3 linked regions of the Lepisosteus oculatus genome follow. The protein of the gene in region 2 binds, or shares a complex with, the protein of the main gene of each other region. Links are inferred from orthologs where the notes say so. Each region holds a gene or a part of one and is shown on either strand. Other genes may lie near its edges.

Region 1 (7,767 bases), about 38 Mb from region 2:
GTTTAAATTGAAAATTTAAGAGACATCATCTGATAACATAAAATTATGTTAAATGAGACTCGCTCAATATTAATTACCAGAAATATTAGACATAATTCCTAGGTTTCGTATTATACACATTTTCAAAGAGTTTCGGCCAGTGGAGTAATTTATGTATGCCCACAAAATTAAACCTGCAGAAACAGTGGGATATTCTAATGAATCTGAGTTCTGCTATTCATGCAACATTACGTCTGTGTCCACACAACACTACAGCTAAGGTGAAACAGCAGAAGAAATCTACCATGACTTCTCCATTGTCTGTTTTACATTTACATTTCGCTCAAGGGTATTTAAAATGTCCTTTTTTTTTAATTCAATTTTGCATTGACTTTTTTTGTTGTTGTTGTGTGCCTACCTATTTTTGAATCAGCACCTGTTTTAAGGCGCAGTTCTCTTGCAATAAACCCTGTGTCCACATGGGGAGCACCTCCTGTCTGGAGACACACTCCTCTGATGGGCGCATGCTTCTGGCCTGGTGCAGGAGGACCGGGAGGGCCGGCTCTTTTATTGACTCACTGCAGGCCTGCCAGGCTCGAGCTGGTCACAGGAGCTGCGGAGGCACTGGGAATCGTGAGGATCCAGGCACTGCCCTGCTCTGGCAGTTGTGTGCCTCCATGCCTCCACGGGTCATGTCACCAGGTTTAAACATGATGCCATCCTGGCACACAGTGCTCAACCTGCGCTCCAACTGAGCACTTCTGCTGGCTGAGACGTACTTTGAGTCCAATGGCATCAAAATCATTTTAGATTTTGTTCTATGACTTCATTAGCCAAGCACACTTCAAATAGTATGACAACCCCAAACAGCCAGCAGCCATGTCATCCTTCAACTCACGACTGGCAGCCCACTGAAGCTCAGCAGGTGTGAGCCTGGGCAGTACCTGGATAGGAGACCTCCTGGGAAAAACCAAGGTTGCTGCTGGAAGAGGTGTTAATGGGGAGTGTAGGGTGTGCTCACCCTGAGGTCTGTGTGGGTCCTAATGCCCCAGGTTAGTGACAGGGACACTATACTGTAAAAAGGCGCCGTCCTTCAGATGAGAAGTAAAACCGAGGTCCCGACTCTCTGTGGTCATTAAAAAACTTCCCATTGGCCCTCACCAATCATGGCCTCCTAATAATCCCCATCTATGAAGTGGCTTCATCACTCTGCTCTCCTCCCCACTGAGAGCTGGTGTGTGGGGAGAGTACTGGTGCACTATGGCTGCTGTCACATCATCCAGGTGGAGCTGCACACTGGTGAGGGTGGAGGGGATCCCCATTACCTGTACAGCGCTTTAAGTGGAGTGTCCAAAAAAGTGCTATAGATGTGTAAGCAATTATTAATTAAAAATTATAAACCTCACATCAAAGCACCTTCGGGAAACCAAGACTTTTAAATTATACTTGCAGAGCAGGACTCCTCATGAGCCAGTCTGTTACCTTTCTTCTGCTTGTAGGTGCCATCAGGTCTGTTCAAGGTGTCGCTGTCTGCCATCAGGAGGACTGTCCGGGGGAGCAAGTACACATTCTGCAAAACAGCACATTTATATTCCTTTACTGAAACCCAGATAAAGGACTTTAAAGCTCAAAGCAATTGCTTTCCAATCTACACTGCTTGCAAACACCTGCTTCGACATTATACGTTAATGTGATCTAATATGGGAAATAGTTTATGAAATAGTTCATAAAAAAGAGTGCAGGACGGAGGTGACTGCGAAAACAGAGCTAGCCAGGGAGATCACTCACAGAGGAGTGTCCCCTTACCTCTACTTGTTCTGCCAGAGTCCTGAACAAGACATGTCCATCCGAGCTGGAGGAGCCAGTACCGGACACCCAGGTCATCTTCTGCTGTGTCCTCAGCACCCTGCGGGCACAGTCCCTCCAGAGTCTGCAGACGCTACCGGGACAGCCGACAGCAGCACAAAGGCAAAACAATAAATATCAAAAGAAGTCCTTCTATAACACAGCAACAACAACAAAAGGCATTTGGTTTACCAGAGCATTTTTGATTTTGAAGGATTTAAAGAGAAATCCTGTTTGTGCTTTTCAAGCAGCAAAGGTGGAAGATGTAGTGAAAATATCATGCTCACTAAATAGGTCGGCTTTCTACTGTTAAACAGCTATCACAGGAGACAACTGTCCTCAGGATTACAGTTACCAAGGAAAGGGAGTAAAAACAGCTCACTTTCAAGGTGAATTATGCAATTGCTGGAGTACATCAGGAATTTTTATCTATAATACCAGATTTTCCTTAAAAGGCATGAGACATCACGTCTTTTCAAACCTTTTGCTTGCTTGTAAAGACAATGCGCTGTACTGCTAATCAATGCGTACCAAGCAGATACAAAAATACCAGATTACAATGTTTCAGCAAGTAAGTGAAACCGCAGACTTCCTGCGGTGCCAGATCACATATATCACATGCCCATTTTCACAAGCAAGACGTCTTGGTATTTTGCGTTTAAATGTCGAAAAAAACAAATACAAAGAAACTCTCAAACATACTACATATATAAAGGGCTCTGCAGTCAAAAACCCAAGCGTGATCGAGTACAGGATATGAACAAGACAAGAGATTCTGAATACAATTAAGTCATTACATCTTTAGAGAGCACAAGACGCAGCTTTTCTCTGATCTCCTTTATGCATACATCTTTCGATTAAAAAAAATAGCCGGGTTCATGAATAAAACTCAAGATCGCCGATGTGCTGTCTCAAGGCTCCGTGTTCTGCAGAAAACATTGAGTGGAAGTCTACAGGGACTGTTAATAAGTCCTGCAAACGAGAATCTGAACTTACCAAGCGGTACGGAGAAGTGACTTGGTCGGTACAAATGTCAAAATCCTCTCCACCACCTCGGCCACATTACTAAGTATATATCCAGCTTTACTTTCTGGAGCTGAAATAGAAAATTCACCACTTGCATCCATCTTCCACTTCCGAGTGTCTAAAACAACCCCAGGGAACAATGTTGACCCCTGAACTCACCATCAATCGGAAGTGAACAATTCCATTTTTATTCCGTTTTATTTCTTTACTGCCGCCTAGTGGTACATTATTTTATCTCCTCCACAGCTGTGCCCAAAGATAACAGGAGTGCAGTTTTAACGGATCTAGATCCAGATATACTGTAGGTGGTAGACAGGTCAATTTCTCAAATTATTAAACCGGGAAACACTGTAGAAGCTGCAAAGGAAATTAAAAATAATTATGTTAAATATTTTACTTGTTCTAAACAGCGTTGGATCGAAAATGAAATTGCGTATTCAAATTCAAATTAAAGATTTTTACATTTAAACCAAGGACCACCACGTATAAATGTACAGTGCACTAATGAGATGTAATTTTACTACTGTGTACAACCGTGGTCATCACTTTAGAGTACAAAACAAATATTGCTGAAGTCCTACTCCCTGTTAAAACCTTCTCAACGGTATTATCAGTATTCAAAAGCGAATATACCTTCATTGAAATTTACAAACTTTATGTAGGTAATTTATATTGGAGTTCATTATCTTAATCTCACATGATCACCTCACAGGAGGTTATAGTCCACAGGTCTCTCATGTAGACCAAATGATAGCTTAAATCTCATGCAATACCCACAGTACCGTAGTCAGCATTTCCCTTACCTCTGCAGGTGCACTGACAGCATTATTGCCTTGGTAAGTATGTATGGGGAGCTGGGGTTGTGCTAATAAAATAATTAAAATATATTTCATTCAAAAAGTTATCTTTAAAGATTAGATCAACTTTCTCTGTTCTGTGCAGTGCTGTCAAAGTAGATTTGTTACACAAATGTACATTGATGTCATAAGTGAAGGTAAAATGGTTCATAGATTCATATTTCCTTGGATGAATTAATGTACAAGAACAATCAAAAGACAAATATGTGAAAATCTGTTAAGTCTCAGGCACTCATAACATACACTAGAAATGTAAAGTTGAGTGCCAGAAAAATGTGGCTTTTTCTTAAAAATAATTTTAATACATTTCAATTGTATGTCAATTTAATTCCTAAACGAATGCCCCAGCTGTCAAAGTTTTACACATAAAACATGGTATTTCATCATTATTTCATACTACGGTCACATTCCTGACAAGGAAACTGCGTCAAATGTTTCTCTCAGCAAACTAACATTTCTGGGGCTCAGTTAAATGCAATATTTTTGGGCTAAGTCTATAATCAGTGCACAACTCAAAACACATGCAGATAACCATGGAGAGGCACTTGCGGAACTACAATATCGTCCTACACTTCATGGCCATAGTTTCTATTCCTTAGGAACTTAGTGTATGTCAGGAGTTACTACAGAACTGTCGTGAGAAGCTTACATTTTTCAATGAGGGAGTCAGTATTCAAGGTAGGAAAGGCAGATTCTGACATTACTCTGTTTTTGTACATGGGAATGATCACCTATTCACTGAGAGAAAGCCACGCATTCCTGGAGAGGGTCACATCCACCCTGAGCCTGTCCCAGAAACACACACACTCTTTATAGGGTGACAGCTGAAGGGCATCCACACAAGCACAGGGGGTTCAATGTAGAGATGCCATTGACCTATCCAGCATGTCTTTGGCAGGCGAGAGGAAACTGGAGCACCGAGCAAGTACCCACGAGAACAAAGGGAGAATGCAAACCCCACAAAAAAGGGACCCCAATCTAGAATTGAATCCACCGCCCTGGAGCTGTGAGCTGGCAGCAGTAACCGTGGCGCTATCCTAATTCTTCTGTACTGTACATCGATTCAGACTCTTCTGTGATCCCAGCATGTGTAAAACATGAACAGTCAGTGGACAAAAAACTTTTTTAATGGATCAGACTCGGACAGATTAAACATAAAGGTATGCTGAAGTTTTAAAAAATGCCTTTTCAACAATAAAATGTTTTTTTTTAGCCACGTGTTTTCCACTGTTAAAGCAGTTTTTAGATGTATTTAAAATGACATTAAAAATTGAATCCTCTTCTTCCTTTAATACTGCAAAAGATACCAATCTTGCGAATACAGAAAAGACCTCAAATACGAGCATTTTTACTTCAAAATGATTGGTGCACCAGCTGCACAAAGACAGCCTCCTGTGCTCTCTCAAGCATTCCTGGCTTTCTCGAACTGCAGAGCGATCTTCAGGGCAGTGCTGTTGAGACCGGCAGACTGCATGTTACTGATAATAGTCACCACGATGCCCTGTGGAGGAGCCAATGTCTGTCCCTCGCTCTGGGCCAGGTTGAAGGGCAGGACTAACAACACACTACTGGCCCCTACAGCTCCCCCTGTGTGTGAAACATAGTGCCGCCTTTTCCTGCACTGTCCAAACTGCTGCTGCTCCTCCACCACCAGCCAGCCCATTGCATACTGCCCATCCTTATCCCAGGATCCTTCAGTTCCATCCACAGGGGTCCACATGGCTTTGGCCGTTTCGGGCTTGAGGTAGCCCGGCAGGAGGCCTCTGCCATCCTTAACATGCGCCATTTGGTAGCTGTAAAGCATGGCGTTGCCAAACACCAGCAAGTCACCAACAGTGGACAGGAACCCTCCCCCTGCCCATTTGTAGGAGTTGTCCACATAAGGGCAGTTCACAATGCGGCCTTTTTTGTTGAAATGATAAAACCTGCAAAGAGGGGAAAAAAAAACACAGATGGTGTTAGATTCCCACTTAAAGACAAGTAATGTTCTCATTTAATGAGAAGTTAATGAGATCTAATACTCATCCACATGGGTTTCCTTAATCAGCCTTTCAACGCTTTCTCTCCTGCTTGCTTAGAGCCGTCCCAAAAACAGGACCAGTCACAGGGGAGAGTGACATACCAGAGCTGCTCTGCTCCCGAGTCACTAACAACGAGTACAACCCCTCTGCTTTTCTCAGGGGGACAAACTCATAAGACGTAAACATAACTTGCATGTCTCTGGATGATGGGAGGAAACCAGAGCACCCTGGCAAAAGTCAACAGAAAAACAGACAGTACATGGACCCGACACAGAGAACCAGAATTGGATCAACTTGTAGTACCCTGCAGCTGTTATGCTAACCACCACTCTTGTATCCATCGATTTTCGAACTGCTTTTTCCAATCCATGGTCGCAGGGGAGCCCGAGCCTATCCTGGTGAGCAACAGGCACTAGACAGGATCCACCCTGGATAGGATGCCAGTCCATCGCAGGGCACACACTGACACCAGGGCCAGTTTTCCCAGAAATCAATTAACATGACATTTTCCCACATTATGGCATAGTAAACAGCTGCCAAAATTTACAGGCACATATTCCCTTAATGTGAAACTATAAAAAGCACTGTTGCAATTTTATTTGCATTGCAGATCTTTAGGGTTTGTTGACGTCCAACATTTTAGTTTGTGCCATGCAAATCATATGCAGATGGCATCCCAATTCACTACACAGTGTGAAGTAATAAACAAAAACAGATCATCTGAGTCAGCCCAAAGAGACTGCAAATATTAAAAAACAAAAATATAAATGATCTCAAATAAGTTGCAAATTAACCATATGTGTTTCCCTGGGGTCACAGCTTTTAGAGTTTAGATGCAGAACAGCTAAAAGAGTTCAGTCATCTAGATACCAGTGACTGGAAACTGAAATGATCAACGCTAACGTGACAGAATCTCAATGAAGACAATCCTTTGGTCATAGACAGTGGTTCGGGTTTTGGGAGTTTTAATTTTTAAAAGAAATGAACTTATGGATAAGAAGCCAAAGTAGTGAAATCAAACCAGGTGTGATCGGAAACCTTAGAGTGAGAAATGAATGGAATGAGAAATTGAAGCTGTAATTGAAAGATGTAATACCATGTGTGGCACTGAATGCTTAGTGCTCAGCATTAGTGCAATATTTTCAACAAAAAGCAAACCTTACCATGCAAAATAAACCACAAGAATTTAGACTTTTTTTTTTTAAACAGCAGGCTTTGAAATTTGACTTTGCAGGTCTCTCCGTTACCTCGATCGGTTGTATATAATGCGGTCGTTCTCCTCCGGCACGGTGTTCAGCATGCCCAGCTCCCGGAACATCTTCATCATGTGATCCAGGAAGGGCCGTCCTGCTGCCCTCTCCACCACCGCGCTGAGCAGAGTGAAGGCGTGTGTGGAGTACAGGAAAGAGCTGCCTGCAGACACAGACAGCGCGCTGCTTCAGCCCCACACGGTAACTACCATTTTTGATAACTGCAGCTGCAGAAAACTGTGCGAAGGAAAATGAGGACCCTTAAAGTTGCAAAATGTAATTTTAGGAAATGCTGAAGAAAAATGCATATGCACAATTGCCACTTGAAGCCTTTGGACTCAAGGAGCGCTGTTCTCTAAAAAAAAAGCTTTTCTTGAAAGGATATCCTAAATGAAATATTCCATACATGGTCTTTTTTGAGACACTTAAATAACCTGCCTTTCTCCCTGTGCCTCTCTTAGAAGATAGAGAGACCAATAAGCAGTTCCAAAAAAGAAAAAAAAAACATATCTAGATAACCACATAGACACATGTCATTTCTTGGGCAGAATTAGCATGTGTGAATCAGAAGGAAGAGAATTTTATAGTGAAAACGGCCACATTTCCTAAAGATACTTGATATGGTTTATCTGTCTCACCCAGCAACCCTTCCCAATTTTATAGAACAGTCGTCATCTGTCACCTGGCTTGAAAATCAGGGGGTCATTTTTAAACAGGTCCAGGGCCTGGATGACACTGTCAAACTTCTCCTTCAGGTAGTACTCTTCCTGCTCAAACTCCTTTTTGGCG
Region 2 (6,965 bases):
ATCGCACAGAATCCCCTTCTGTCTCTGCTCGTTAAGGCACAGAAGGACGTGCGAGCTGTGTATCGAGGACTGGTAACTGAAGGTCGACGTCCTTATGCTCTCGAAAGTCATTGTGCGGTACAACTGCAAGAAAATGCAAAACATTGTCGCAGTCAAACTTCAAAATTCTGTCTGAGTTGCACAATGTTGTAGTGAAAGGTTTTTTTGAAGTGCGGCTATCAAACGTTGGAGATTTCTACATGGGTGCACTACGCATTCAATTGGATTTGCTCTTTGTGGGTGCTAAAATGCAACAAGTATCTCAAAAGAAAATGCCAGGTCTTTCAAGGCTGTCCCCTGCACCCGGTTCATGGGTGTAGTGGAGGTATGGAGCTCATTTCAACTGCCAGCACCAAGCCTCTGGAGGTGTGTCTGTGACCCTAGGGTTCAATCACCTCCCTTACTCAAGGAATAATGCGGAAGCTGTCACTGCCCACTTCAGAAAAAATATAACTAATCTGAAAATGGATCAGGTGTTGTACCTTCCAAAAAAAGACCACAACTACAAGCAGTCACTGCAGTCAGTTTGGATGATTTAGTTCAGAGTTAAAGGATTTATGCCAGCTAGTGTGTTACACTGCTTGCTTTCAGAGGACTTGCCACTACTATAAAAAACTATTCAGCTTTGCCCAATTACAGCGTCACCTCCATGTACACAATACAACACAAAACCATAAAATACTTCCAGAGCCACACATCAGAGTGTAAATGTAAAATTCTACAGATCCAACTGCCTTCCCTTAATCTACACCAGACTTTGAGAAGCCAGTCTGTCTAGCTGTTCCTGAGGCAGACAGATCCTGTATCAGTCTGAGATGCAGTCATGACAGGCAGACCTCAAGACTTGCAACTAGAAAGGTTTTGTATTTCATCTCTGATACACATCTTTCTGTGGCTCAGTTTTGGTAGATTTGATTGTATTATACAGTGTGAAAGAAAACATCTGCACGTCTGTATTCCATCTTATCAAGGAGGTCAGTGTTGTTCTATGCGTGAAAGCAAATGTGTGAATTATGGGCATAGTGTTTTGGACTAGTGCCTCACGGCGCTGGGGCCCTGGATTCAGTTCCGGACCAGGGGTGCTATCTGAACAGTTTGTATGTTGTGTGGGTTTCCTCTGGATGATCTGGTTTCCTCCCATAGTCCGAAAAGATACTGGCAGGTTAACTGGCTTATGGGAATGAGTATACATGTCCTGTAATGGACTGGAGTCCCGGCTAGGGTGTGCATACTCCTTGTCAGGATAGGCTCCGTCTCCCCCTTGAACCTGAATTTGATGAAGTGGTAAAAAAAATGGGTGGATGTGTGAATTTTGATATTTCAAAAATAGATGAGAAAAAAAATATTTACAACTTTAAAACAACGTAAGACCTAGTATAAATCATTTAAAATAATATGCATATCTACTACTAAGCCAATGCGATTTAAAACCTAAAATAAGATCAACGCTTCATTAAATGAAGCAGGTTGCAGCTTGGCGCAACTACAGCTGAGCGATGTCAAGTCATGCAGTGTGGTTAAGCAACAGCGTGCTGACTCACTCGCTTCTGCTGATAAAGGATGAACAAGCATTTTCCTGCTTCTCCGTTCATTAGTTCCCGCAAACAACTTCGTTACCTAACCGAGGCAGCATTCGTTGATATATTATTACGAGACAATAGTAGTCTAGTCGCTGTAACTGCTAAGTGTATGATGAAGGTATCTGAAAAGGGTGATGTATTTTTCTTTTTTTGAGCATGTAAACAAATGTCGGAGACTGGTTTCCACTGTTAAAATATGCATCATGTCATCTGGTGAACGGTGCAGGTACTAAAATAATAATCTACACAGTGTCTAGAAAGGCTAGCCCTTCAGCCCCAAGCTTCGCGTTTTCGTATTTCATGGTAGCCTTTTTCTTGCAGCTCATGTATATTTCCTTGGATATTATTTTTTTAAGCGGTTTGAAAAAGAGGAAGAGAAACCTGCTCTGTTTGCTTTTATACAACCCGTATTTTATCTATGGTTTGCGTAACGTCTTTCCAGATATGTAATGCCACATCATATTCTCCAACTGAACTCGTGCGGAAGAAGATACTCTAAATCGTGACTTGTAAGAGAGAAACAAAGTATTTTTCCCCGCATCCCAACGCGAATCCCGGATTTGTTTAAACTGCTTGGCACACGACACCCTTCACCGTATATTTTCGGGTTTCTGTAATCCAGAAACGTTAGCTGAGGCGAATAGTTTAAGATGCCACGGTTAGCCATGCTGTATCAGTGTGTACACTCTGATCCCCCTCTCGATGATGAAACCCTGTTACACAAGAAAAGTGGGACGTGAAATAAACAGGAAGATAGTTATCCTGAGATGGCAGACTTTACTAACCACAGACCAAACAGACCACTACGATCGTCCACGTTTTTGTTTTGTTTAAATGATTTCTCGTAGATGTCCAGTTAGCACGAAACACACAGGTCATTTTGTAACGAATAGTAATGGCACCAGCTAAATATCACATGTGTTCCTACCGTAATAAGTCTCTACTACTATCATCCTCTTTGCCCGAGTAAGGAATTTCTTAACAACCATAAACTACCACTGCAGGAAAAGACACAAATTTAGCTTGTCACTCACGACAAAATCCAAATTAGCCTTACCAAATACACATCTTGGCGTGCACAGCTACAGATTTCACCGTGACATTTGCTGGGCCTACCGAAACTTTAAAGGCTGGGATTCTCCCAAATGCCCCCTCCCAGCCCGACAACTGCAAAGTTCCTCCGTACCACCACAACACATCGCAAGACACTCCGTGGCACCGAGCGCTTCGATCCCTGTTTACATTAACCCTGACATGCGAGAGAATGCCAAAAGAGTCTTACTAACCTGTCACATCTCCTCAGCAAGAATCGATTCGGACTTTTACCAAGGAGCCCCGTGCTGTGGCAGTAAACATCCTCCTACTACCTAGCCCCATTAGAACCCTGCCTGACTGCAAGCCCTTCGCTCGGGCTGCGATCATGTGACTTTAACCCAGGGCGTCCTCGTCCCGCCCTCTAACGTGCAGCTCTTTCCTGCTATTGGCCGAAATGGCTGCCAGCTTCGTGTATTTTTATAAACCCTCACTTCCGGTTTCAGGCACTGATAAGCTTCAACTGGGTGGCTTTGTGGGTTTACTTTCAGAGTCCTTTTTTTTTCTTTACATTTTCAGAGAAGGCTGGCACGATCAGTTTCCTATCAAGGGACGGTCGCAGAGCGACAGAAATCAAAAGTGCTTTGCACTGAGTGAGAACACGAAAAAATTAAAGTAATGCATGATAATAAAAATACTACCTAAACATGGACTCGGGGGTTTAAACACATCGTATTCAAAGCACCTTAGGAACAACCTCCGTACAGGTATTTCGGGTATTAAACGTGTGTCAGTAATTATAAACGTTTTTAAAAACGCTATAAACTAAAACCTTTCTGAGACTTGCAAGTTTTATAAAATTCAAAATCTTCTATTTCTAAATGTTCCTGGTCAAAACCATGTAGAAAGGTACTAGACTACAACCACACTGTTAAAACTTTTAGTTCTTTTTTGTCTTAAATGTTTATTCTTGATTATCACGTGTCCTCTAGTTTTGCTTCATTGTTGGTTCTTAGGAAGGCCATTGGGTTGATTAGGGCAGCAACCTCCGCTTAGAAATGTGAGAAACAATTTTAGAGTCAGAAGAATGAAGGGAAGGACGACGTTAGAAATGAATGAAAAGAGACGAATAATCCAGCATTTAAAAAATGTCTTGGAGGTAGGAGCAACTAAGAACAAGAGTTTTGTACTGAATGGGTGCAGATATAAGGAGCCAATTAATAGTCTGATTTGAAGATCCAGTTGTACATTAGGTGAGATTAAAAGTAACTTGACTGTGACAAATAAGTGTTATTAAGAATCTCTGGCTTCCAATAATTTGGCACATTCTAACTGAATTTGAAAGTTATAAATGGAGGCGGACGTTGACAGATGTGATATAATGTGGGTTTGAAAGAAAAAAAATGCTAATTTCACTCTACATTGACCTTAAAGTGTTCATTTGAATGTAACTTTGTCTTTTTGCTTTATGTGCATTAAATTTGTGTTTTGTGTTGAATTGTACCTACTCATTCTTCCAATAGTGTTTTATGCTCTAACATTTTGTGAACTATGACAGATTTTACTTATTTTTGATTATCTATCAGAAAAGTGACTTACAGTTGTTCACAATAAAATAAAAAATGAGATTTTTTTGTATACAAGGAGCGATTGTTTGAAAGGACCTGCTCAACCAGCTATCTATGAGATATATCGAGGTGTGTCCACGCAGAAATGTAAGTTATTTTTCTGTGAACATTTTGCTAGACATTTCAAGATAATTCTTATTATCTTGAACTTTAGGCAATACTGCTTTTGAGGTACTACAGATGTTAAAAGCAGCAGCATCTAGTGTTTTATCTGTTTTCTTGGTTCGCTTGGTTTTAAGATAGACTCTAAGAACTAATTTTGTCGCAGAAAACCATGCTTTGTGATTATGAGACTAAAGACAAGAGTGGTTATTAAGTTGATTGCCTTAGAAAAGCAAAACTGTAGAAGACATTCCTAGGAGATTCCTTTACAGTTTTGCTGCTTACACATTTGACTTCTGTTTTGAAAAAGCTGTAGTTCTGGGAGATGTGTATTTTTTTATTTGCTGGGACTGTTAATGTCCTAGGCTCTTGTCTTTAAACTAATGTGTTAAAAAGATCTTACAGAGATCTTGTGGTGTTGTCATGCATTCATTTTGTAACCATTTTATCCAGCACAGGGTTGTGGGGAAGTCAGAGCCTATTCCAGCAAGCAGTGGACACAAGGATACACCCTGGATGGGTTGCCTGGCTGTCAAAGAACACACACAGACACAAACATAGTCATACTCACATCATGGCCTATTTTCCCAAAAGGAAATTAGCCTACTAGTATGTCTTTGGACTGTAGGAGGAAACTGGAACTTGACGAAAACAGAAGAAAACACTGAGAGAAAATTCAAACTACACAGACAGCACCCCAGAAATTGAGCCCAAGTCCCCAGTGTTGTGAGGCAGCAATGCACAGTGCGCCACTGTGAGGTTCCCAGTATTTCATGTCCTGGTCAAATTTAATTTCATAGTTTGCGCAGGCAACAACATTAATTTCTGTATCTTTTTATACTTTTTTATTAACATTGGAAGCAGGATAGAGCAGTAGTTAGGGTTCTGGACTTTTAACTGGAGGTATGTGGGTACAAACTTCAGATGAGACGCTGCAGTAGTAACATTGAGCAAGGTACCTCCCCCATATTTGCTCTAAGAAAATATACAGTTATATAAATGGATACAAATGTAAGTTGTTTTGGATAAAATCATTAGCCAAGTTAAGCCTAAGTTAATAAATAGTAAAATAGCATTCCTCTTGCAGGATACATCTTGTGCTTTTATATTTGCGATGTGTGATTGTAATTTTTGATTGAACCTATATCCATATTTATCAAGCAGATGTTCTCCTTAAGGGGCAGTGCCCAAACTGAAGGTCACCGCCAATGCTGTCATCCATGCAGCTTCCTGGAGAAACCACGATCAGCTGATGGTTGTTTCGGAGTTATTGGCTGAATTGTGAAATAAATTTTCCCGGATTGTGTAAAAGTAAGTCGATGTTTTGGGCAAAAGTGTTACATTTTGTACAGTACATTACACATAACACAGTCACAGGGGTAAGGACAGAAACAGATCAACTGTTCATTTGTCTCTCAAATATCAGGAAGAATTATTAGTACAGAGGAAACAAAGCAAGTATGTTTCCTTTTCTGTGATTTTAAAAAAAGAATTCTTCAGTTCAATACACTAAGCTCCTCATTTCATAGTGTAACAATCATTGAAAGTATGAAATTGACAGCATTGTACTCTTCTGCTTGTATAAAGGATAATTAAAAAAACAACAACACAAGATTAAAAACAAGGCATTTGAACTTAAATAATCTCTAAATTAAAATTAATGTAAAAGTATATAGTGATATCAGGAATCCCTATTGAGTAATCATATGGTCCTTTGAGACCAGTAAGAAAAGGTTGAACAGGAGGTCTCATGGAACTTGAACTATCTGCAGTCCAACTACACCCCATTCATATAATAGGTTGGCTCTCAGCTGGTCTTAGTAATAGTGTGTGGTGTGTACACTCCATCCAGTAGCTTAGATAGTGAATGAATGGAGGCTTGTGTACAACTGAGTATATAAATATGTCATAACATTAAAACTGAGCAACGCTGAATAGTGTAAACATCACTAAAATAAACAGAAATGTTCATTTTAAGATGTTTGTGCAGAGCACCACAATTTATTTGTCTTAAAATGTCAGATGTTATCAACAACATAATTCCTTGAGGATACAGTAAGTGCACCTCAGCAAACTGATACCAAGACAGCCCTAAAGAGAAAGCTCTGCCAGGAGTCATAGGAATCAGTCAGTTGACCGTACATTTGGAATTAACATTGTAATGACTGTCAGAGAATAGGAACCCTGTCCTCAAGGACCTGAGTCTTGAAGATTGTACTTTTAGATAACGTTTAGCAAATGAAACCCAACGAAGCATCAGTTCACTGGTGATCTTACAAGTAGGTTGACTGTCTGATCCTATCCAAATAGTGAGCTCACTTAAATCAATTAAGTCATTACATTGAGATTTTAAAATGAATACCAGACCCTGCCATTTTCTACCAGCTGTTGTGGATATTTTATGATTTTATTTAGGTTAAACCCGACTGGCACATTTGTTATTGCTGCCTCGCAGGCTTGCGGCGCTGGGACCCTGGGTTCAATTCTAGACCTTGGGTACTATCTGGGTGGAGTATGCATGTTCTCCCCATGTTTGTGTAGGTTTCCTCCCAGTGATCTGGTTTCCTCCCAAAGTCCAAAAACA
Region 3 (8,036 bases), on a different chromosome or scaffold from region 2:
GGAAGGCGCGCCGCGCCTGCTTGCAGGGGGCGCCCCTCTGCGCCCCCGGCGGGCACTTGCGCTTGCAGACCATCTCGGAGTAGTCGCCGGCGGAGACGGTGCGGAAGAGCTTGGCGGGGACGCCCGACAGCAGGCTCTTGCCTTGCTCCTCCCACAGGGCGAGCTCCTTCGGGGACAGGAGGAAGCGGGCGCAGTCCTCGGGGGAGCCGAGCGCGGCGTACCTCTCGGCGAGCTTGGAGGCGCTCTCGAGCTGGTCCTCGGCAAGGCTGCTGGGGTTGTGGACGATGAAGCACAGCATGCACGGCCCGTGCAGAAAGCAGTTCCTCCGCAGCTTCCTCTTCTTCTTCTTCACGCGCTTGCCATTTTTAGAGAGAAGATGGCCCATATAGATGACTCAGGGTGCCTCTGTGGAAAAGCCCAGTGGGGGGGGGGAACACACTCTCAGATAAAAGGCAAGGTAAGGCTGTGGCTCGCTTACAGCCAAGATGGGTGTTGGGGAGAAAATCGGAATCAAAATCCGCTTTATTGTCTACAGACAGCCGACATTTTCCTTTGGCCTTGCACATGCCTTACAGGAAACCTCCAACGGACTTTATAAGATGTATACAATCAATGCAACTTCAATCATACAATGCAGTAGAAAAAGTACAAAAAACACAAGACGCTGTCAATACAAGCACTCTGAAGGGGCTCGCTCATTCATCACAGCTTGAGTAATTGGGACTCGGAATGAGCAGCCTAAAATGTCGACCAGATGGCAAATCAAAAATCAAGCCGTGCAAACATTGCTCGTTTTGTATATCTACACAAACTGTGTGATATCACAAACAGGACTGCTTACACTCAGGCTACTAACATTACAAACACCTGTTGACTATGATTCAACGTGTTCCACATGACAACTTTGCCATGATGTTGAAGCTTCTTTCAAGAAACGGCTGGATGAGATGCCCTCGGATCGATTAGCTACTGGCTGTCAAGCAGGCCAGAGGGGTTAAACAGCCTCCTCTTCTTTTAAACCGTTTTTATGTTCTTAAAGCACTGCTCCAATCCTGTTCCTGTAAGATGATGTTAATTATTTTCTATTTTTCTATTTCTATTTTGGAAGGGAATTACATTCTTAATTCCCCAGGCCTTGGCTGACCAGCCTTTCTGTTATTCCGATTCAAGAGGCAACACAACTGTGTTGTCAATCATTTAAGAGCCAAGTGTTGTTTCCATTAGGCTATCTAGGACAACAGCAGTGAGCTTTGCTTTCCACCCACCGATGTGATGTGCTGTGATGTGAAACAGCAATCTGAGTACTCTCAAAGTACTTTCACACACATACAGGCAAAGACCTTTGTATCATCTGAGCTTAGTCTGATAAGGTTTAATAGACAGTGACACCTCACTGCAGAAAACTATTTTCCCTTTCCCTACCTTTTAGAGGGGATCCTGACTGGGAGACATTCACTCATAATCCCACAGATGGCAGCTTCGCATCATTGGCTCCTCAGCCAAGTTATGGATGACAATAACTACACGTGCATTTTATCTCCAGTGAACATGGCCCTAAATGCTAAGCTGCTCTGTTAGGATCCACTGTCCTTTGAATTGATGTGCTCCAATTCATTATGCTTAGTGTAAAAAAAGGTGCATATTCACTTTCAACAATGAATCAATAATATTGGAAGCCTTCCACAGAAACACTGAAGGAAGAAAGGAATATGTGCATTTTTCTAACAAACGCACCACTGATGTCTGAACAGTATACAGTAGTTCATGGCGATCAAAGACAGCAGGTGAGGTGATCAAGCCTAGAAAGCAGTTTTTGGTGCTATGGGTGTTATTCAGAAACCTACCTGAATGCTAAACTAGTAACCTTAAATGTGCTGAAAAATGAGACTGGACAGATCAAGCGCATTTACTGCCTTGAGTTTTATGGTCGCTGTTCATTCAAAACTACAGGAAAAGGCTAACAAAAATCACATTCCAAAAACTGTTGTATCTTTTTTGCACGAAATCTGAATTTGTTGGAGACAAAGCAACATATTAAATTAACTTTGGAATCATTGCGTTTATTACCACAAGTGCAGTAGTAGAACTGCCTTTATAAAATCATACATCAAAAATCTTGGAAATATTTTAAGGCTTCAAATGTGCTTGTTCGGTAGTTCTACACACCACACAGTTTGGGACGGGATTTTGAAGAGCGTTATTGGTTTCAACTGATCTCTTGTATACACATCTTGAAAACTGCCTAAATAGTACTGTTCAGGCATCCTGGTACTATGCAATTTTCAGCATTTAGTGTTGCAGGTACCAGATGTTCGTCTAATAAAATAACTATAGTTTTATCATCGATGCCTTGCATAAATCATAACCAAATTTATTATTTTACTTCTTCCTAGAACTGATCACACACCATTATTCAAAATACATGAGCCGTGGGCTCCACACTATATTATGCAGCGAGCTGCTTTTAAATTAACAGGGGTATTGCCAGCAATGACCTGACATGTACTTGTTTTAGTACAATTTTTATTCACACCGTAAGTACTGGGCCTTCCTCGAAACTCAGCAAAAATAATCATTATTTTGCCTTCACCTCGAGAAGCTGAATTCGTGCATGACAAAAATGATTTAGACATCTCGGAACACGAGAACAGGCTTGAAAGGCAAGGTCGTTAAGTGTTTTTTGTAAGTTTTTAAAAATATATATAGCAATACAACACATTCAGCTGGCAATGTCTAACCTGTAAGAAAAAAAAAACAACTTTCTAACTGAATTTGATGAGAAGGAACAGTTCGTCTTACTTACAGCAACGTTTTCTCAACCAGTTCACACAATTCCAGTCGCCTTCAACCCGTGCATTCATAATCCACGTATAAAACACCACCAACAGCTCGACAGACTTAAAATATTGCAGACACAACGCTATGTACGAACGTGTACACACATCATATATATGTTATTGCTCTCTGTGGAAAGTGTTCCGGAATAAGCACAAGAAAGGAAATCCTGCCCCCTGCTTAAAGAGTGATTGGAAAATTCCCTGTTCCTCACTCACGAGTACTGCCTCTTTCCTTGCTTTTTAATTGGAGGACTTCCCTGTCAGTCAAGCCAGGGCTTCACAGACTGCATGTTCACCTTGTCCGTCAAGTTGGTGATGCCCGCCTCCGTGCATAGCAACAACGACACTGTATCGCTAAGATAAAACACACATAAGAAATAGGTTTCATGGTTTGAAGGGGTAGGAAGGGAGGGAGGTCTTCTGTCATACTCACTATAACTGCTACCGTTCACGTTTTATTTGTTAAGAAAGAAGTTGCCTAAGGAAATTCGTCTAATACACGGTAGATTAAATAATCAGTGGCGTATCATTTGGAATAAAAGCAACTCACAAATATCAGAAATGCTGATTATTTTCCAGCATATGCGTACTTTTCATTATCATACACTTTAGCCTGGCACTGCGTGTCAAATTAATAAAGAATTCGTGGTAACCTTTATGCTAGATGTCTGCCAACCAATTAGAAACGTTGGGAACACAAGCCTGACTACTGTATGTAAAGACATAATTGTTTTTACATAGAAAATTATATCGATTCCATTCAAAATATTGCTTTTCAGCTTTAATGTATGCTTTTATGACAACAATTATTTATTTTAAAATACTTAAAATAAATGAACATGCTAACACAATTGAAGATAAATACAGAGACTGGACAAGGGCTGCAGAATATCCAATTTTGCTCTGATTTTTATTGAATTTCGATTTTCTTTTTAAATAAAGGAATGAGAAATCGGTCCTTCTTCAGAAACATGTCGCTAACTGTTCGGTCTGCAGACCGATAATTGAAAGCATTGTCTGTGAAGTGTTGTCGATTCCACGCACTGTTTTATTTTTGGTACTATATTACTATCATATTTAGTAGTTGCAAACAACAGCGCGCTGTCATAAAAATGCACAAAATGCAATACGCCAAATTGTCGCTAGGCGTCATAAAAAGGCTACTGAAATAGCATGAGATATACGGTATATTTTACAACTATAAGGCTTAATATTTTTCAGTGTTCTGTTGCTGCATATCATTAGTGATTTATCTTAAGTCGACAATAACTCGGTTTTTGTCAATTAACCAGTTATTTGTAGCAGGAGCGATGAAACCCCTTTACCAAATGCGGTTCTTCACAGGGCCGCACAGACGCATAGAGATCGGAAGGAAAAGCTTAAGAAAGTAAAATGAAATAATCGAGATGCAGTAAACATTTATCAGTAGTCCATAGGGGCATGTATTAATTCTGTTTCCAGATGTGCGTTATTTCTCCATGAACTCGGTTACTTCACTGCACATGAACTTGTTAATTTTGTGGGAGTGGTTTCTGAGTTTTTGGACACTTTGCAAAGCAAGCCCAAAATAGCTCGGACAAGACTTGAGGGAAAAAAAGTTGTACTGTAAATGGATTGAGATGGCTGCAGATCTTCCCGTCACACAACAAATCGCCAGAGCCCAGCAAGGCCACCAGAAAAACCCGGTTAATATTCCGATCTCAGAGGTTGAAGATTGTTTTGTTTACAACCGGCACGGGAAACGGATTCCTTTTAAAAGTTTATATGACGACAAGAAATCAATCGTTATTTTCGTTAGGGTAAGAAGCTTTTTTCTGCTACCAGTTCCGATGCTGTAAAAGCCCTGTTTTAATACCGAAGTATTCAAACGTTTCAATACAAGCATTAGAGATCCGATTTAAAGGAAATCTGCCTTACGAGTGAGAAGGATAGTGCTGATACATTAAACCAGAGGTGTTTTATTAAAATGCAGGTATTATATACGTATATTTTTAAATGATTGCATTGGAAGCAGTATCCGAAATGGCACCCTTTTCTCGTGTTGGTATACTTTCATTTCGATTGTGAACTCTTGTTAACTGAAGTAAAATAGTTCGTCGTGGATTTTGCATCTAAAATATAAATAGCCTATGTTCAATTGTTTCTAATTGTTTCAAATTAAATATTTGACTTTTGAATTTATAGCATTTTTTGTGTTACACATGCAAAGAGTATGTGGAAGATCTGGCCAAAATACCTAAGAGGTTCCTCACAGTAAGTAGTAGAATTATTACATTTTTAAAAGTTATTTAAATTTATTTTGATTATTTTCCATTATTTGAAATGTGAATGGTAATTACCAGCAAACAACAAAAATGCCTTATTACAAGGCACATCTCATAAAAGAGCTTAGATTTCTGGGAATAAAAAAGCAAAGGTTATTTTTTCACTTGTTGTTAGTACAGTATATTTCAGCTCTCAGGAGCCAGAAGTTCACTTTAATGAATAGCCCACCTGCTTCATTCATCAATATCTTTACAGCTGTTGGCAATCTTTTGAAAACAGATGACCTGTAAGAATAACTGGATTGGGGCTTTGCACAGGCCGGGCTGGGGGTTCAGACCCTCAAAATCGTAAAAATAATTTTCTAGAGGAAATTCTAAATATTAAAAGATTTAACCGTGTGACAATATATGTCCAAAGCATAGAGTTGCATTTAAATCCTAAATTCCCAGAGTTTCTGCTCCTTTTCAGTAGAAAATATATAGTTCTGTGGAGAATATCATGGTTAAACTCATATTTATTTCAACAACAGGATGCTGATGTCAGGTTGATAGTAATTGGACAGTCTTCACACCATCACATTGAGGTATGTGTGTTCCAAAAGATGAGATAGGTCAGTTACATTACAACATTGTATTAATTTATGATTAACACAGTGCTATACAAATTGGTGGCATTCAGTACCCTACTGTGACCTGTTTTCTAAACATAACGTGAAATGTCCTCTCTTGTTCACTAATGTCATAATCAGACCTTCTGCAATGTTATACCCTTCCTTGCTACCAGAAAGTTGTTAACAAGGCCACCACAGATTTGCAGTTCATCTGAAACATCAAGTACATGTTCTCCTTTAGAAAATGCTAGACGTGTCTGTGTATTTTTATGCATCACTCTTACTTATATTACATATGGGTCATACATACAGGCGTTCTGCGCACTGACAGGCTATCCACATGAAATATATGTTGATCCAGAAAGGCAAATTTATAAAAAACTTGGAATGAAGAAAGGGGAGGTGTTCACAGAGTCAGGTAATTTTCTTTTTTTTAATTTTGAGATTATATACAGTATCTTCCAGATACGTGCAAATAACAAATGAAGGATTTAGATGACTTTCAGTACTGTAGAAGTTAAAGAGGGAGCTGTGTTGGTGTGTGAGTTGCAAAGTGACAAGCAGGGGTTGATTTCACACTGAAAATTAAAAAGAAAGGAGGAAAAAAAACGTTTCAGCTACAGAGACCACACACCCGAACAAGACTCCAAAGCCTTTTTTCTGCTTTTCTGTATGGATTTAACCTTTCCTTTTTTAATAATATGTGTATAAATAGAACATCCATCAATAAAATTGCAAATAACTAATGCAGAAATGTTTGAATTCCCTGGTGAGGAGTATTTCTCTATCCCTCTTTTGGCTCTGATGACTGGATTCTTCAACCTTTCAGCCTCTTGACCAGAGCTGAGCCTCTTCAGCTTCTCCACCTTGTGCAGTCTGTACTTGTGATCTGCTTTCCTCAGATCATATCATAAGTGTCCTGCTAGAGTCTGCAATGACACATCATGACCTATCATTTGGTTTTTGCGCTCTCGTGACCATCTGGTCATTAAGTGTGGTGCAGACTTCGAAGTGGTATCCCTCTGTAAAGTCAATTTGAGACCACACTTAAGTTTCTTGACAGACGGCACACACTGTTGGCTGAAATACGCTAGTAAACCTTGGACTCCACCTGCCCCTCCATTCTGAGCAGCGTATCTGGACCAGACAATAGAAAACAGCCCTAAAGCAGGACAGGTCCACTTATCTCCTTTACAGAGGGCAGGACATTTGTTTTTCAATGTGAGAAAGAAACATTTTTCACGTTTCAGATGCTGCTTGTACTGCTGGCGAGCCTATCCACAATCTCAATTTGTGTTTCATCCAACCACGGGATTTGATATAATTTGGTTCTGGGGAGTCAATAAGTTTCTTTTCAGCAAGTTCATATCTCAGCTTTTTAAGATGGTCTGTTAACTTTGCAGTATACATCAGATTACTGAAATCGCCCTGCTGCCAGCATTTTAGGAAGATTCACAGTTATTTGGTACTGGTTAGCCTCCTTTTCTTAATGCCCTCTTCTTCATGAGGTAGTGATCATCTCATTATTGAACCTTTCACCAATGGACGCCTCCGTCAAAATTGAAATGTCTTTTGTATTTTTTAGTCATTACTAGAGCTGAAGGAAAATGCATGAGAGAGAAGCTACTGCTTATAGAGGTTGAATATAATGTAATTGGAATCCCAGAATTATGGCTAAAAGAGACTGATGATGACCAATACAACATTAGTTGATCCACAGATTTCCAGAGAGATGGGAACAATGGAAGATAAGGAGGTGTAGCAATGCACAGTACTGTACATCAAAAAGAGCATTCAGGCACAGGATATTAACTTAGAGGAATCAAGGGTTTCTGAACCAGTATGGATCAGGCTTATAAAAACATTCAAAATGTACAATGTTAGAAGTATGCTACAGACCACAACATTTAGACATTGATTCGAAGGTAACATTATTTAAATGAAGTCAGCAATGCATTTGTAAAGGAAGAAGTAGTCTTTATGAGAGACTTTTTCACATAGTCACAATGTCTTGGGAAAACCAACTGCAGAAGTAGTGAAATATTTTAAATGGCTACTCACTGCGTCCTTACATGGTTTGACACAGCACCTATAAAAGGGAATGCCCATATTTGTCTACAAGATAGCATGTAGAAAACAGGTGTGAGAATCATTAGGAACTGTTATGATAGCACAGTGTACTGTCAAGTTTATTGCGAAACTACAGGTAGAGTCCAGGACACAAAAGAGAGGTAATATTCACCATCCATGAACAAAAATTTACTTATAAATTACCTGCGAATTGCTAATTTATTGCCCATCCAAAAAACTAAAAAGGAATTATA

The links.
Region 1: the proteins of bach1b (region 2) and fbxo22 are in contact, whole or in part, in a cryo-EM structure (PDB 8S7D), measured with the Homo sapiens proteins. The link is inferred for Lepisosteus oculatus from reciprocal best matches to the Homo sapiens genes BACH1 and FBXO22. Residues at the interface, in NP_001177.1 of Homo sapiens: Ser7, Val8, Phe9, Ala10, Tyr11, Glu12, Ser13, Ser14, Val15; in NP_671717.1 of Homo sapiens: Asp366, Gly371, Asn372, Phe373, Ile374, Leu375, Arg376, Lys377, Cys378.
Region 3: the proteins of bach1b (region 2) and fbxl17 are in contact, whole or in part, in a cryo-EM structure (PDB 8UAH), measured with the Homo sapiens proteins. The link is inferred for Lepisosteus oculatus from reciprocal best matches to the Homo sapiens genes BACH1 and FBXL17. Residues at the interface, in NP_001177.1 of Homo sapiens: Val20, Leu21, Ser23, Leu24, Gln27, Val32, Leu33, Asp35, Phe39, His48, Arg49, Ser50, Val51, Ala53, Ala54, Cys55, Ser56, Ser57, His60, Ser61, Arg62, Val64, Asn72, Thr74, Pro76, His116, Asn117; in NP_001156787.2 of Homo sapiens: Asp395, Arg421, Asn447, Gln473, Gln498, Glu499, Met524, Arg548, Cys574, Leu575, Tyr598, Val600, Ser601, Asp623, Trp626, Met651, Arg652, Val676, Gln678, Asp679, Cys680, Arg682, Thr683, Glu685, Gln689, Trp692.

The regions. Positions count from the first base shown.
Region 1 is NC_090700.1:57,539,987-57,547,753, forward strand, and holds the start of fbxo22 (F-box only protein 22), read right to left. Parts: upstream 3,032-7,767; 5' UTR 2,952-3,031; coding exon 2,821-2,951; intron 1,919-2,820; coding exon 1,786-1,918; intron 1,550-1,785; coding exon 1,462-1,549; intron 1-1,461. Other genes in the region: lactb (serine beta-lactamase-like protein LACTB, mitochondrial), read right to left, coding at 5,110-5,632, 6,976-7,141, 7,661-7,767. UniProt on the Homo sapiens protein: Substrate-recognition component of the SCF (SKP1-CUL1-F-box protein)-type E3 ubiquitin ligase complex that is implicated in the control of various cellular processes such as cell cycle control, transcriptional regulation, DNA damage repair, and apoptosis.
Region 2 is NC_090700.1:19,451,434-19,458,398, reverse strand, and holds the start of bach1b (transcription regulator protein BACH1b), read right to left. Parts: upstream 3,034-6,965; 5' UTR 2,906-3,033; intron 124-2,905; 5' UTR 112-123; coding exon 1-111. UniProt on the Homo sapiens protein: Transcriptional regulator that acts as a repressor or activator, depending on the context. Binds to NF-E2 DNA binding sites. Plays important roles in coordinating transcription activation and repression by MAFK.
Region 3 is NC_090698.1:57,058,824-57,066,859, forward strand, and holds the start of fbxl17 (F-box/LRR-repeat protein 17), read right to left. Parts: upstream 3,013-8,036; 5' UTR 2,804-3,012; intron 406-2,803; 5' UTR 386-405; coding exon 1-385. Other genes in the region: prxl2c (peroxiredoxin-like 2C), read left to right, coding at 4,457-4,636, 5,022-5,090, 5,632-5,685, 6,025-6,130. UniProt on the Homo sapiens protein: Substrate-recognition component of the SCF(FBXL17) E3 ubiquitin ligase complex, a key component of a quality control pathway required to ensure functional dimerization of BTB domain-containing proteins (dimerization quality control, DQC).